2 linked regions of the Caenorhabditis elegans genome follow. The protein of the gene in region 1 interacts with the protein of each later gene in a pairwise test. Each region holds a gene or a part of one and is shown on either strand. Other genes may lie near its edges.

The links. Proteins that work in one complex are often made in the same cells at the same time.
Region 2: the proteins of eri-1 (region 1) and unc-13 interact in a two-hybrid assay, tested with the Caenorhabditis elegans proteins (one study listed by BioGRID).

Annotation. Positions count from the first base shown.
Region 1 is NC_003282.8:415,095-421,776, forward strand, and holds eri-1 (3'-5' exonuclease eri-1), read right to left. Parts: upstream 4,865-6,682; 5' UTR 4,858-4,864; coding exon 4,523-4,857; intron 4,306-4,522; coding exon 4,185-4,305; intron 4,131-4,184; coding exon 4,029-4,130; intron 3,498-4,028; coding exon 3,425-3,497; intron 3,382-3,424; coding exon 3,258-3,381; intron 3,193-3,257; coding exon 3,057-3,192; intron 3,009-3,056; coding exon 2,811-3,008; intron 2,245-2,810; coding exon 2,077-2,244; coding exon of another isoform or gene 1,987-2,076; exon of another isoform or gene 1,774-1,986; intron 1,737-1,773; coding exon 1,627-1,736; intron 1,571-1,626; coding exon 1,462-1,570; intron 1,092-1,461; coding exon 1,001-1,091; intron 865-1,000; coding exon 683-864; 3' UTR 541-682; downstream 1-540. Other genes in the region: T07A9.12 (uncharacterized protein), read left to right, coding at 224-410; Phosphatidylinositol 3,4,5-trisphosphate 3-phosphatase and dual-specificity protein phosphatase daf-18, read right to left, coding at 5,332-5,451, 5,504-5,902, 6,470-6,682.
Region 2 is NC_003279.8:7,420,950-7,425,809, reverse strand, and holds the start of unc-13 (Phorbol ester/diacylglycerol-binding protein unc-13), read right to left. Parts: upstream 3,026-4,860; coding exon 2,953-3,025; intron 2,853-2,952; coding exon 2,823-2,852; intron 877-2,822; coding exon 777-876; intron 482-776; coding exon 371-481; intron 138-370; coding exon 7-137; intron 1-6.

The sequences.
Region 1 (6,682 bases):
CTTGTGGTCTTTCCAAAAATGGTTTTACAACTCTGAAACTCTTATTAAAATGAAGCGGCCGCCGGAAAGATCGTGGCGAGACCAGTCCGTAGGAATACATAACTGCGAAATTATAGCCCGTTGAACGCAAATTACGTGTTCCTACTTGCGACAGACCAAATGCGAATCATCTGTGAAAACAGAAAATTCAAAATTGAACATGCAATATATATTTTTTTTTCAGAGTAATTCTCAACATATTCCGTCTCACATGCATCACGCTCTTCATATACTTCATCGTTGAAAAAATCAGTGGAGAGTTGGAGAAATCAGAAGTTGCAAATCGGAATACGTATGGGATGGTTTTTTTGCCAATGTGGCTTCTCCTGGCTTCGTGGGGATTTCAAATGTGTCGGGCAACAAATAACTAGTTTAACTGCTCATTCTTCTCATTTCCTATCATTTTCTGTACATTATTGTTGTTTTTTCCTATTTTCAACGGGTTTCCAAAAGAAATACAAATAAATACCATCTGAAACGTCATCCGTGTATAACCTAAATAAAACATGTGACAAATTTCATATAAACGCGATTTAAAGGAGAAAAAAGATTGGAGCGAAAAAAAATTGAGATCAAAAATGAAAATGAAATACTCGAATACTACAAAACCTGCAAAAATAATTAAATTCGTATACAAGAAAATCTAGAAACTAGATCGATTTGAAGACGATGCCAACGAATTTTTGGGCGGCGCATTCAACACGCGGTCCACGTCATCGTCGATATGAAGTGGTGATGATGACGTCACATGTTCTGACGTGGCATGTGGTGATGATGTGGATGACGATGGAAACTCGTGGAGACTTGGAGCATTTGAGAGGTTTTCTGAATTTTCACAATTATGTTTTTTAAGTGCTATTCAATAATTTAAACTTTGGGAGCAATTGAATTGACATTTTAATCAAACAGAATTTCAAGCTTTTTCTAATGCAATTTCCATATTGCAATTCCCTCGACGTACCTCTTTCAGAATCACTTCCACCATCTCGTTCCCATACAGCATCTAAATCGACTTCAGTGTGTAACGTAGAACTAACTGGAGGCATTCTTTCCTGAACGAAAAAATTAATTATTAAAACTCCAAATCGATTTGGTTTTTTGCTCGAATTTTATTAAAATTTGAAAACAAAATAAAAGTTCGGTTTTGTATTATACGAAAATCGAAAAGCTTAGTTATTCAGAATTTTTTTCTCTCGCGGATTTTTAAAATCCACACCACGATGAATCTGAAATTTATACCTACATTAATTTTTTTTTGAAAGAAATTTTCGATTATCCCGGAAAACATTGCAAATTTCTGATTTCAAAAGCAGAGTTTTCCGCTTTTTCGGAGAATTTTTGAATTTCGATTCATCGAATCGTGGCGTTGATTTTTAAAAACAAAATTGATATTTTTGAAGTGTTTTTTCTCAACATTCTCACCACAACTTCCAACATTTCAAATTCAGTTCCATAATCTTCCTCTTCACTTTCAACATCCACGTCATCATCCTCTATTATCGGTCTTGCAGTTTGATATGATTTTATTTCACTGAAAACGCCAGAAACTAGATTTTTTTGTTCAAAATTCCATCCAAAGTCCATTACCCAATTTTAAAAATTCCCCGCTCAGCAGCAATTTTCGCGAAATCTTCCGTCTGTTTATTCTCCAAATACTCTCGAATTGCCATTTTTTCCTGGAATGCCGCCTCGTCGTTCTGAAAATTTTGAGTTTTTGTGTGTATAAAACATGGAAACAGAAAATTATTTATTCGGGGCGAATCAAATACAACTATACCAGTTTCAATGAAAAATGTGGGCTTGGAAGAAACATAATTTTTAAACTAAAAATGTAAAATTTGACATGGAATTTTACTTTTGAAATAAAATTTGGAAATTCGTTGGCTAAGACACAAAATTGATAGGGAAAATGTTTACATCAATAAGTATACTTTTGCCAAAATTCGCCTAGCAAATCAAACACTTTGAATCTGTAAAACTAGCTGAAGTTTTTTCATCGAAAATTTCATAAATATCACAAGAATGTAGATGTTTCACCTTATCATCAGTCAAATCATCACATGAATCACAATCCAAATACTCTTCATTTATGAACTCTCGTCGTGTCACAGAGGACAGTTTCAGTGGTAAACGACGCATCCAAAGTTGAAAATCACGACGAGAGATATCGACTGATGTAAGATCCACGTTTGCAGCGTCTTCTAACTGAAAAATTTAATAACTTTTTAATTGAAATTTGTGATGAACTATTTCCTAATTTTCCTAACAAGAAGGAAAGGTTTCCATTTTATCGTCAGACTTCATTTCGATCTGGAATTGTTTCAGTGCCTGTTTTCACTACTTTGGAGGCCTGTAGAATTGCTCCAAATGCGTTTTTTTCAAACTTTAATGTTTTTTCAGAACGTTTAGAAGTAGGTGAACACTCTGGGAGATTTTTCAAAAATTTGTAATTTTTTGAAAAAAATCTGAAAGTTTCTTCACTCCACTTGATCCAAAAATGTTCAGATTTTCACAACAAAAAAAAGTCCAAAAATCTCCCAGAGTGTTCACCTACTTATAACCGTTCTGAAAAACATTGAACTTTGCAAAAAAACATTTAGAGCAATTCAACAGGTCTCCAAATTAGTGAAAAATGCACTGAAACAATTTCATATCGAAATTTTAAGGGTTGAGGGAAGAGCTTTTTTCAAAACATGGAATCACTTGTTGACACCCGAGACCGAATGGGAGAGTCAACCCATCGGGTGAAAACGACGTAGTCTGTTTCGAACCTCTCGCTCTTCATCCTTTCGCGCAGCACTCCGTTGATTCTCCTTATACGAGCATTTCTGATTAATTCTCAACTCAATTTTCAACTTCATCATTTGAATCGCAATCGCTGCAATATTCGTTGCATCATCCAATCCACTATGTTTATTTCCAACAAACGACAGATCCAGACGTTCTAACATGTTTTCAATTCCGGATTTCTGAAGAGAATTGAGGTTTTAATTAAAATTTGAACCTTAAAAACTTACTCCATTTCCCTTGATAAGTCCATTGAATTTCTCTTTGAATGTCTTTTTGATGTTGATAAAACTTCGGAACATATGGGGCATTCGAATATTCGATAAAAGGCATTGAAATTGCATGAATTTCCACATATCGTGAGGTCTGAATAGTTCGTTATGCACAACTTTGAAGTTTTAGTGAACAAAAAATCGTCTTCGATTCCTTACCCATCAGTAACAAATGCGAATCTGGAATTTTTCTGTCCGAGATTGAATTTTCGCATCCATGTGTACAGCCGTTGAAGAGCCTCTCGGAAATATGGAGCAGCATCGACTGTTTCTTGGGCAATTTCTACAACAGGGTTTACATTTTAAAAATGACATTAGTGTCTTACTGGTAAACTGCATACAAAATTCGCTGAGCTTCGGATTTCTGACAGGTCGGACATAGGTTCGAAACTCGCTGATCTGGAAATTAAATATGCTTATTTTGACGATGGATATTATAAAGTTATATATTTTTCGTTTTTTATTTATATTCCTAAAATAAATAAACAAAACAAAACAAAAAAAGCTTTCAGTTTAGTCAGTTTTTATAACTTGATAATACACCAAAGAACTTCCATCTGCCTTAAATTGAAAAATGGGAGAAGGATTTTTCTATTTTTTTCCAATATTTTCTTCACAAGCGAAACAAATTTTATAGCTAAATAAGAAACCCAAAAAAGACGAAAAATGTTGTATTTGAAACGTTTTTTGTTGAATACATTTTTATATTCCAGATTTCGATAGGATGACGAAACGTTTGTCACCTTTTCCCGGAAAAAATGATTTTCTTGCGGGAAAACACGAAAAAAAAAAATAAAATTCGAGCCGAAACCCCAGAGGAAAAATCCAAAATCAAGAATTTCAACTGAGAACTGTTCAATCCTTGTCCGCGGGGAGTACACGACATGCGTAATTCGACATATTCCATTTTCAAAGATGAAAAAATCCTACAATTTTCATTTCCCGAACGTCGATCAAAACTGCCGGTAATTCGATGATTTCGTGTGGGTAATCGTATATAATCTCGACGCACGTACACTCGAAATCAATTGCCTGAAATAATTAATAACTAAAGTATTTCTTTTCCAGAAATTCTGAAAATCATACAATTAAATAGTCAAAAAAGCGTGCAGTTTTATCGGCATTCGGCTCCATTTTTCGATTCAATAATGCATTTTCCTTTCGATAATATTGTGCAACCCGTTTTCGAAGAGTTTTCTTGTTTCCGCTGAAATTAGAGTTATAATTTAAGTTAATTTCGAAATTTTAGTAAGAAAATTACATTATTTCTTTTACGGATGACTATATTTAACGCAAAATGATTCAAAAAATGCTGTTTCTTTTTAACAAAACTATCAAAAATGAAGCAAAGCTATATCTTAAATGTACGAAATTGGGTTCTGTTAGGAAAATAAGAAGTTTGAATGAATTTAGCATAATTTTACCCTGTGGACACTTTAATCTTCATCAACGCTTGTTTTAGCTGTTCAGCAGTCATTGTATCCATTTGCCTTATCACTTTTTTCACGTATTCTGGTTCCACCATTGATTTTAAAGGCTCAACACGTTCGGAGGGTAAAAGTTGCTGTTCACGTGGAATATCGATTGATTTTTCAGATTCGTCGGTTCTGGTTTCAGCCGATTCCACTTCAACTGCTGTTTTTTCTGGTTCGTCATTCTGTTTTGCGTTACTTGCATCGAATTCTTGGCTGATTTTCAGCAAATCTCGTAGACTTTCCAGATATTTTTCGTCTTCTGGAGACGGCTCATCTGCGCTCATTTTTTAACTGAAATTTTAGAAAAACAATGTAAATTCGAATGCGCCTAGATTCTATGTATCGGAGAATATAATTTTTCTTTGGAATTATCACCAATTTCAATGTTACAAATCTAAATAATTAAACAAAAAATTGGTAAGTACAATTAATTTATGGGAGAATTGTGTTAAAGCCCATAGGATTAGTGATGACCCGCAATGTGAATTACAATTTCTGAGTAAGAAAACAGATGGAAGGGGATACATTCATAGGGAATTGCTATTTTTCACCCGGCAAAATATACATATATACGTGGAAAATCGGGAAGTTGAGAGCTATAATATGAATATACAAAATAATCGAACAATAGTTTGTTAAAAAACAAAACACTATACAGAAAGTGAATGATACTTTGAAGAGAAAACTTAAAACATTGAAATTATCTGAAAATTGGAGGGTCAGTAAGAAGAAAATCTTCTAAAAGTTTTGTTTTAGGTTTACAAATAAATAGCTTGATCAAAATTCGAATCCGAGAAGCTGTTTTCGGAAAAATGAGCAATTCTTGGGATTTTATCCTCTGGATGTAGCTCCGGGCACGTTTCACGACGCTCGATTTGCTGAAAAATTAACATTTTAATCACATAATAAAAAATAAAAAAGATTACTCACCACACGATGATTAGCTTCCAAATGTAGAAGCACATGATTGCGGGTCTTCTGAGTGTCTTTGCCAGTTTCTTTCACCATTTGTTCTCGAGTTTTCAGGGCTTTTGGATTTTTAGAAGAACCATTCGATTCTTCTACAACGTGCCCGAATCGCTCAAACGCTTCACCAAGAGTGTGTTCAAGATCGACTTCCTCTGCATTCGCTTGAACTCGTTGAAAATCCTCCGACTGCTCCAGTAACGCAATCTGTGCTTTAAAAACTTCGGCCTGTCCGGTTACATAATCAGCAAAGGAATTGTCCGATGGTACTTTGAATTGCTTCATAAACTCTTGTAATACACCTTGTCCATTAAGCAACTGGTCAACGAAGGCTTTTGCCTCTTGTTCAGCTATTTTCACTTCCTGAAAGTTAAATATTGAAAATACATTCAACATTTCCCGATAGTTTTTGATCTTACTAGGAGTTCTTATTTTTGGTGATCAGAGAGTTATGGGTCGAATGTTATATTTTCTGGAAGCTAATAAAACGAGCATATCGAATTCAAAATAAGAAATTTGCCCAAAGTGATGTTAAGGCAATATTTTCGACGTTGAAAGCGTATTTAAGCCAAAAAAGTCGTTGTTTTTGAAGCATGGACTTCAACGATACAAGAAAATAGTCACCTAACAGAATGTTAAGAACAATACGAAAATCATTATTTTAATAACGATAGCTAAATACTCAAAATATTTCTCTAAAAATCTGAATGAAAATTAATATAACTTACCACTGGCAACGAATGAATACGCAGGTTTTCAGCGAGGAAACATTATAATATTGATAATATAGAAATATAATTAGAAACTATAGCAATAGGAATAATTATTAGAAAAATTACACCTAGGAAGGTGAGTAGATTGAGGGGTCCCGCATATAATATAAAAAGTTCACTTTCAATTCCAAAATTTAAAATTTCAAACCAAATTCACCGAATCAGTGTGATAATCCTGACGCAGCATGTTACCGGCCGTATTTGGATGGTATGATTCATGGAATAGATGTTCGAGTGGTTCAAAACCAGCTATTGACTCTACGGTTTTGTGTTCACACGATTCTTCTTCCGGATTTTCGAAATCAACGCCGACGACTGGAAATCTTCGCACATTATCCGGTAGCCTCGCAGGAGGAAGTTCGTCTTCAGT
Region 2 (4,860 bases), on another chromosome or scaffold:
ACTCACCAAAAGGAAGCTCAAATCGAACATCAGTCAACAAGTTATGACCTGTTGGACCACGTGTTCCTACAGTTTGACCATTTCTTGTTTCAAGTTCATGATCCATTTGAAGCCATTGACCCGAACCTGCTGCATTGCTGAAAATCAATGGGGTATTTTTAGAAAACTGATACATTAATTTTAAAAGTTAGAAACCACTTCCGCTCAATTACGACAATTATAGGTGGCGAAAACTGAATAATTGCACTTTTCCATTGTAAATAAGAAACGTTCATATTTTTTCGTAAAATTGTATTAAAGTATGTTGCCATTTTAGTATTGGTTTTAGAGTGATTTTAACTGACGACTGGAAATTAAAAAAAAATTTTACCTGTATCTAATCTCCGAAAGTGGCATATAATGAACACCTATTAATTTGTCCCATAAAACGCCTTTGGCCCATAATTCGAGTACCATTCCGTCGTCAGGTCGATTTGTTTCACTGAAATAATTAATTAAATATGAGGTGATGTGGTTTAGCTGAAACCTTAATGTTTGATTAATTGGTTTTCAAATATAATTGTTGTTATTTTAATAAAATAATTGTAAGTGTAATGAAAAAAAAACAAGTAAAACGTTCCAAAACTAAAAAAAGGAGGCAAAATAACACCAATTTACGCATAATGGTATTTTTCCTTCCATAATATCAAATATTACTATTTTCAGCTGTTCTTTTTTTATAACATTTACAAAAATCGGTCTCCTTTACCGTATTTCACCTGTCAATGACAACTTACAAAATGAATTCCTGCTCCCAGCATGGTAAGTTGCCACGCACAGCCACAGTTGTTGATTTTACAGTCTGCAGCTTCACCGTCACGTACGAGTTGAATTCATCTGAGATCAGGCATTTAAATTGTTTTTCAAAAATTTAAAAACTGAAAAAAAACATGCTCTAATGATAGGGAGGGCGCGAAACGTTAATGCTTGTACAAAACCTCTTTAAAATTTATAGAAAATTTCAACTCAATCCAAGTTTTGATAATCAAAATTTTAAAAATCAAAACTTGATAAGACTTTGGTAAAACGAAGGTGAAAAGTTGTTGAGATTTCATTTCCAAAAAGAAATTTGAAAAAATCTAGAGAAGATTATAAATCTGCAAAATCTCTCCAATCCTAAATAAAATCGCAACTTCAAAATTTTTTTACTGCTGGACAACTTATTGGCTAATCCTAAAAATGGGACAGTTGAAAACAATTGGGTCCTAAAACAAGAGTTAGAATGTAACACGTTAACTATAAATATGCTCTCATGAAAATTACTGGGACGCTCAGTTAAACTTTTGTACCCAGGGGAACAATAAAAAAAGAAGCTATATTTTTTTTAGTTGAAAAGAAAAAAAAAAAGAGAACAACGTGAATTATAACTCAATTTCTGGCTCAAACTTGAGTGAAAGATCAAGAATCTTTAAAGTTCTTTCTCATGAGATTTATAGTAAATGTAAAAAGCTACTAAACATTGAACGATTTGTTAAATTTTTTGAACAAGCTGGTTGTATTCTTACTATTACTATATGCTCTTACTATATGCTTTAAAGATGGGGTACTTTTAGCGGGATTTTGTCAACTTACGTTTAGAATGTGGGGTTTTTCGAACTATATGTGTAACTTCAGACACATTCTTTACTACTAATACTTAAAAAAACGAAAACATTTGTTCTATATTCTCAAAATTAAATGAAATATCAAAAATTATTTCAAAAGCATTGGAAATATATGTTTCGCTTAATTTTTAATAATTTTTTAAAATTTTAATTCCATAATTTTTTCTTGAGCTTAACGTACATGATAAATAACAAAGTTTAAGTTTCATTTCATTTTTCTTGGTCTTTAAGCTTCCAGTCCACCGTATCTTGTTTCGTCTCCGGTGCCCTCATTCATTCGTCATTCCATTTCAAACGTTTTCCCCAGTGACTTACTCTCTTGTTTAGAGGTGCCCCCGGTGCTTCTATGTTTAATTTCCTGGCAACTTTTTTCCGGTTTCTTACTTTTTACTTACTCACTTGCTCACGAATGTAGTTAAACTTTTCCTGCCTCTTCAACGACTCTTTTCTCTTATCTTACTCTAAAAAGGTCCCAAAATTTGATTAAAATTTGCCAAAAAAAAGGGATGGGAAAATAGAAGAGGCGGGTGCATACACATACATTCAGAATACTAAGCACATCTTGTACGTGATGTTGAGGTATAAGTTGTGCATTATTTCGTGTGTCATCGAAGCATGAAAACGCGCGTTTCACGATGAGATTTATTATTCGGGAGGTCGCCCCGTGAAACTGGAATGACAGGTGTCACGAATGATGAATTTCTCAGGCGACAACTACAAATCGGAGCAACGCCACGCATGATCGTTTCTCGATTTGCAGAAAGGGATTTATTCAGATTTTTTAGTCTTTCACCCAAAGGAGGTGGACATTTCATTTAAAAAAAGTCAGATCCACATTTCAGACATCTGGCAAGTTAATAGTTTTTTGTTGAGATAAAGTGATGATTCATAAAGTGGAAGAGCCACTTGATTTTCAGTTAGCTCTGACTATGATTTTTTAAAAGTATTTGGAGCAGGAGCATCTTTTGGTTCTATGGTCATCGAGACTAATTGTAACAGTACTGGCACACTGTTACATTTTCAGATTTTTTTCAAAAAATTGGCAGAACTCTCAGAATATTTGTTACATTATCTACTTCAAGTTTCAGGGAATTTCCAGTATTTTTCAAACGAAATAAATTATTTTAAATGAAAACTGAACTATATATTTTAAGTTATAAAATCAATAGAAATACTCACCGACAGCTCCTTGAAGTCGTGCTTTTTTAACTGAAACAATCAATGTTAACATCTCGTCCATAACTGAGTGTCGATGGTCTCGTATATATGTATTCTCGAGACGGCAAGAAGAACACAAATAACAACTCACTGGTAATGCAGAGCAACCTCATGCTCATGCCATCTGAAAGTTGATCATCATTGTAATCTCCAACGTCATCCATCCCTTCTGATTGTTGAAACGTGGCATATTCTTGGGCGATGGTTGAAGAGGAAGCGGCCTCCCCAGATGGGTACGCGCCGCCGACCAGTTGTTCCAATGCCGAGAACAACTTGGTCTCCTGGAGAGTTTTTGGATCAGGATTTTCAGAATTTTAAGGTTTTAGCGAATCAATTAGAGATCAGGTTTAGGTTCAAGTTCCTGGTGCAGAGTTAAAGCTTGAGATCAAGTTTAACCTATAGACAAAAGTTAAACTGAAGGTCAGTGATGAGTGGTACAAATAATTGGATTAAGCAGAAGTAAGTAAGTTCAAAAGAACTAACAGCCTAATCAGACAGATCCAGAGATCTTTGAAATTTGTGTTTTGTAGTTTTTGTTCAAAGAAAGTTATAGATAGAACGTGTTCAAAGCCCCTTAATTTTATATAAAAATTAAATTAAAAACAAAACTCTCAATTCCTACATAACAATGAATAAAAAATTATATGCATGACATGATGAAAAGTCATAAAATACAGAAAAAATGAGCTCCTTTTTTTGCTAAGAAAATGCGTATAGCCTCGAGGTGCCTTCTGCATTATAATGAAAAATGCATCACTTTTTTCTATACTTTTTTTACTATGAAATACGAAAAACTGGGTTAAAAAGTAAATACAAGTTTAGAAAAACTATATTGTTTTACTTCTTTCTCTTGTCAAAGTTGTTTTTATTCTTTAAATGAGAAAATTTCAAGAATGTGTTAGTAACTCAGTGATTTTAACATTCAAAAGTGGAACATAGTGAAAATTTTTTCAAAAAAAAAAAAAAAAAAACGAAATTAAAAAAACGAAATTTTTGTTACCAGTCAAAAAAATTAAAGAGTTTGCAAAATTAAATTTTGGCAGTATAACATCATTTTGACTGAACATTTGAAAAATCTGAAACAATTTTTTAGGGTCTCATTTAAGCACTTTTATTTTTGATTTTGACAAAATCCTGACTGGTGCTACATTATTTTTACAATAAAAAAACAAAACTTCAACATGAACTTCTTATGGACAAAAAAGCTGTAAACTCTTTAATATAATTTTTGTCTAAAATTCCAAACCTAAACGAAAAAATCTTGATCAAACCACAAAAAAAGTTGATTAAGAAAGTCCAAAAAAAGAAACGAACGCAAAATGCGCGAAAAAGTAGCATTTTTTGGAGTATATACTAAAGAAACCAGTGAGATAGTGATTCAAACTAATAGACGCAGAGAACCGGAATAAGTATAACGGAGAGTGTGGAGACGGCGACTGGATGAGCTTGTGCTTTCTTCTTCTTCTGCTCCCGCTCTCTACCCCCTATTCGCCACTCCCCCCTTCGCAAAAATTGAGGACGGAGTAGCAGAAGACGTCGCGGAGCCAAGCTAGAGGAGCACGGAGCACTGAATTCTCGGAGAACCCAGAGATAGTTGCACCCACTACCACCACTCTTCCCTTCACCACAATTTCTCTTTTGGTGTCCCTCTCTCTCTCTTACTTTTTCACCAATTGGGTTTCAGAAATGGACAATAGGAGGACGTTTATATGTGTTTGTGTATGTGGACGGTTCTCACGCTCTAGTGCTCTCCATTCCAATTTCTAGACCTAGATGCCACTCAATGCTTCAAAACAGACTTGCTATGGGAATTCATATCAAATTCTGTGTTCCGATGAGGTTTTAAAATCATACGAAGAACCCATTTTCAAGGGTTGTGTTCCAGAAAAAGATATTTTTAATTATCAAGATGTTTTCTAGGAAATTAGATAGTTTCCAGCATGTTTTAAATATCGAAAATTAGTTCTGAAATTTTTATATTTGAAGAAGAAAATCTGTA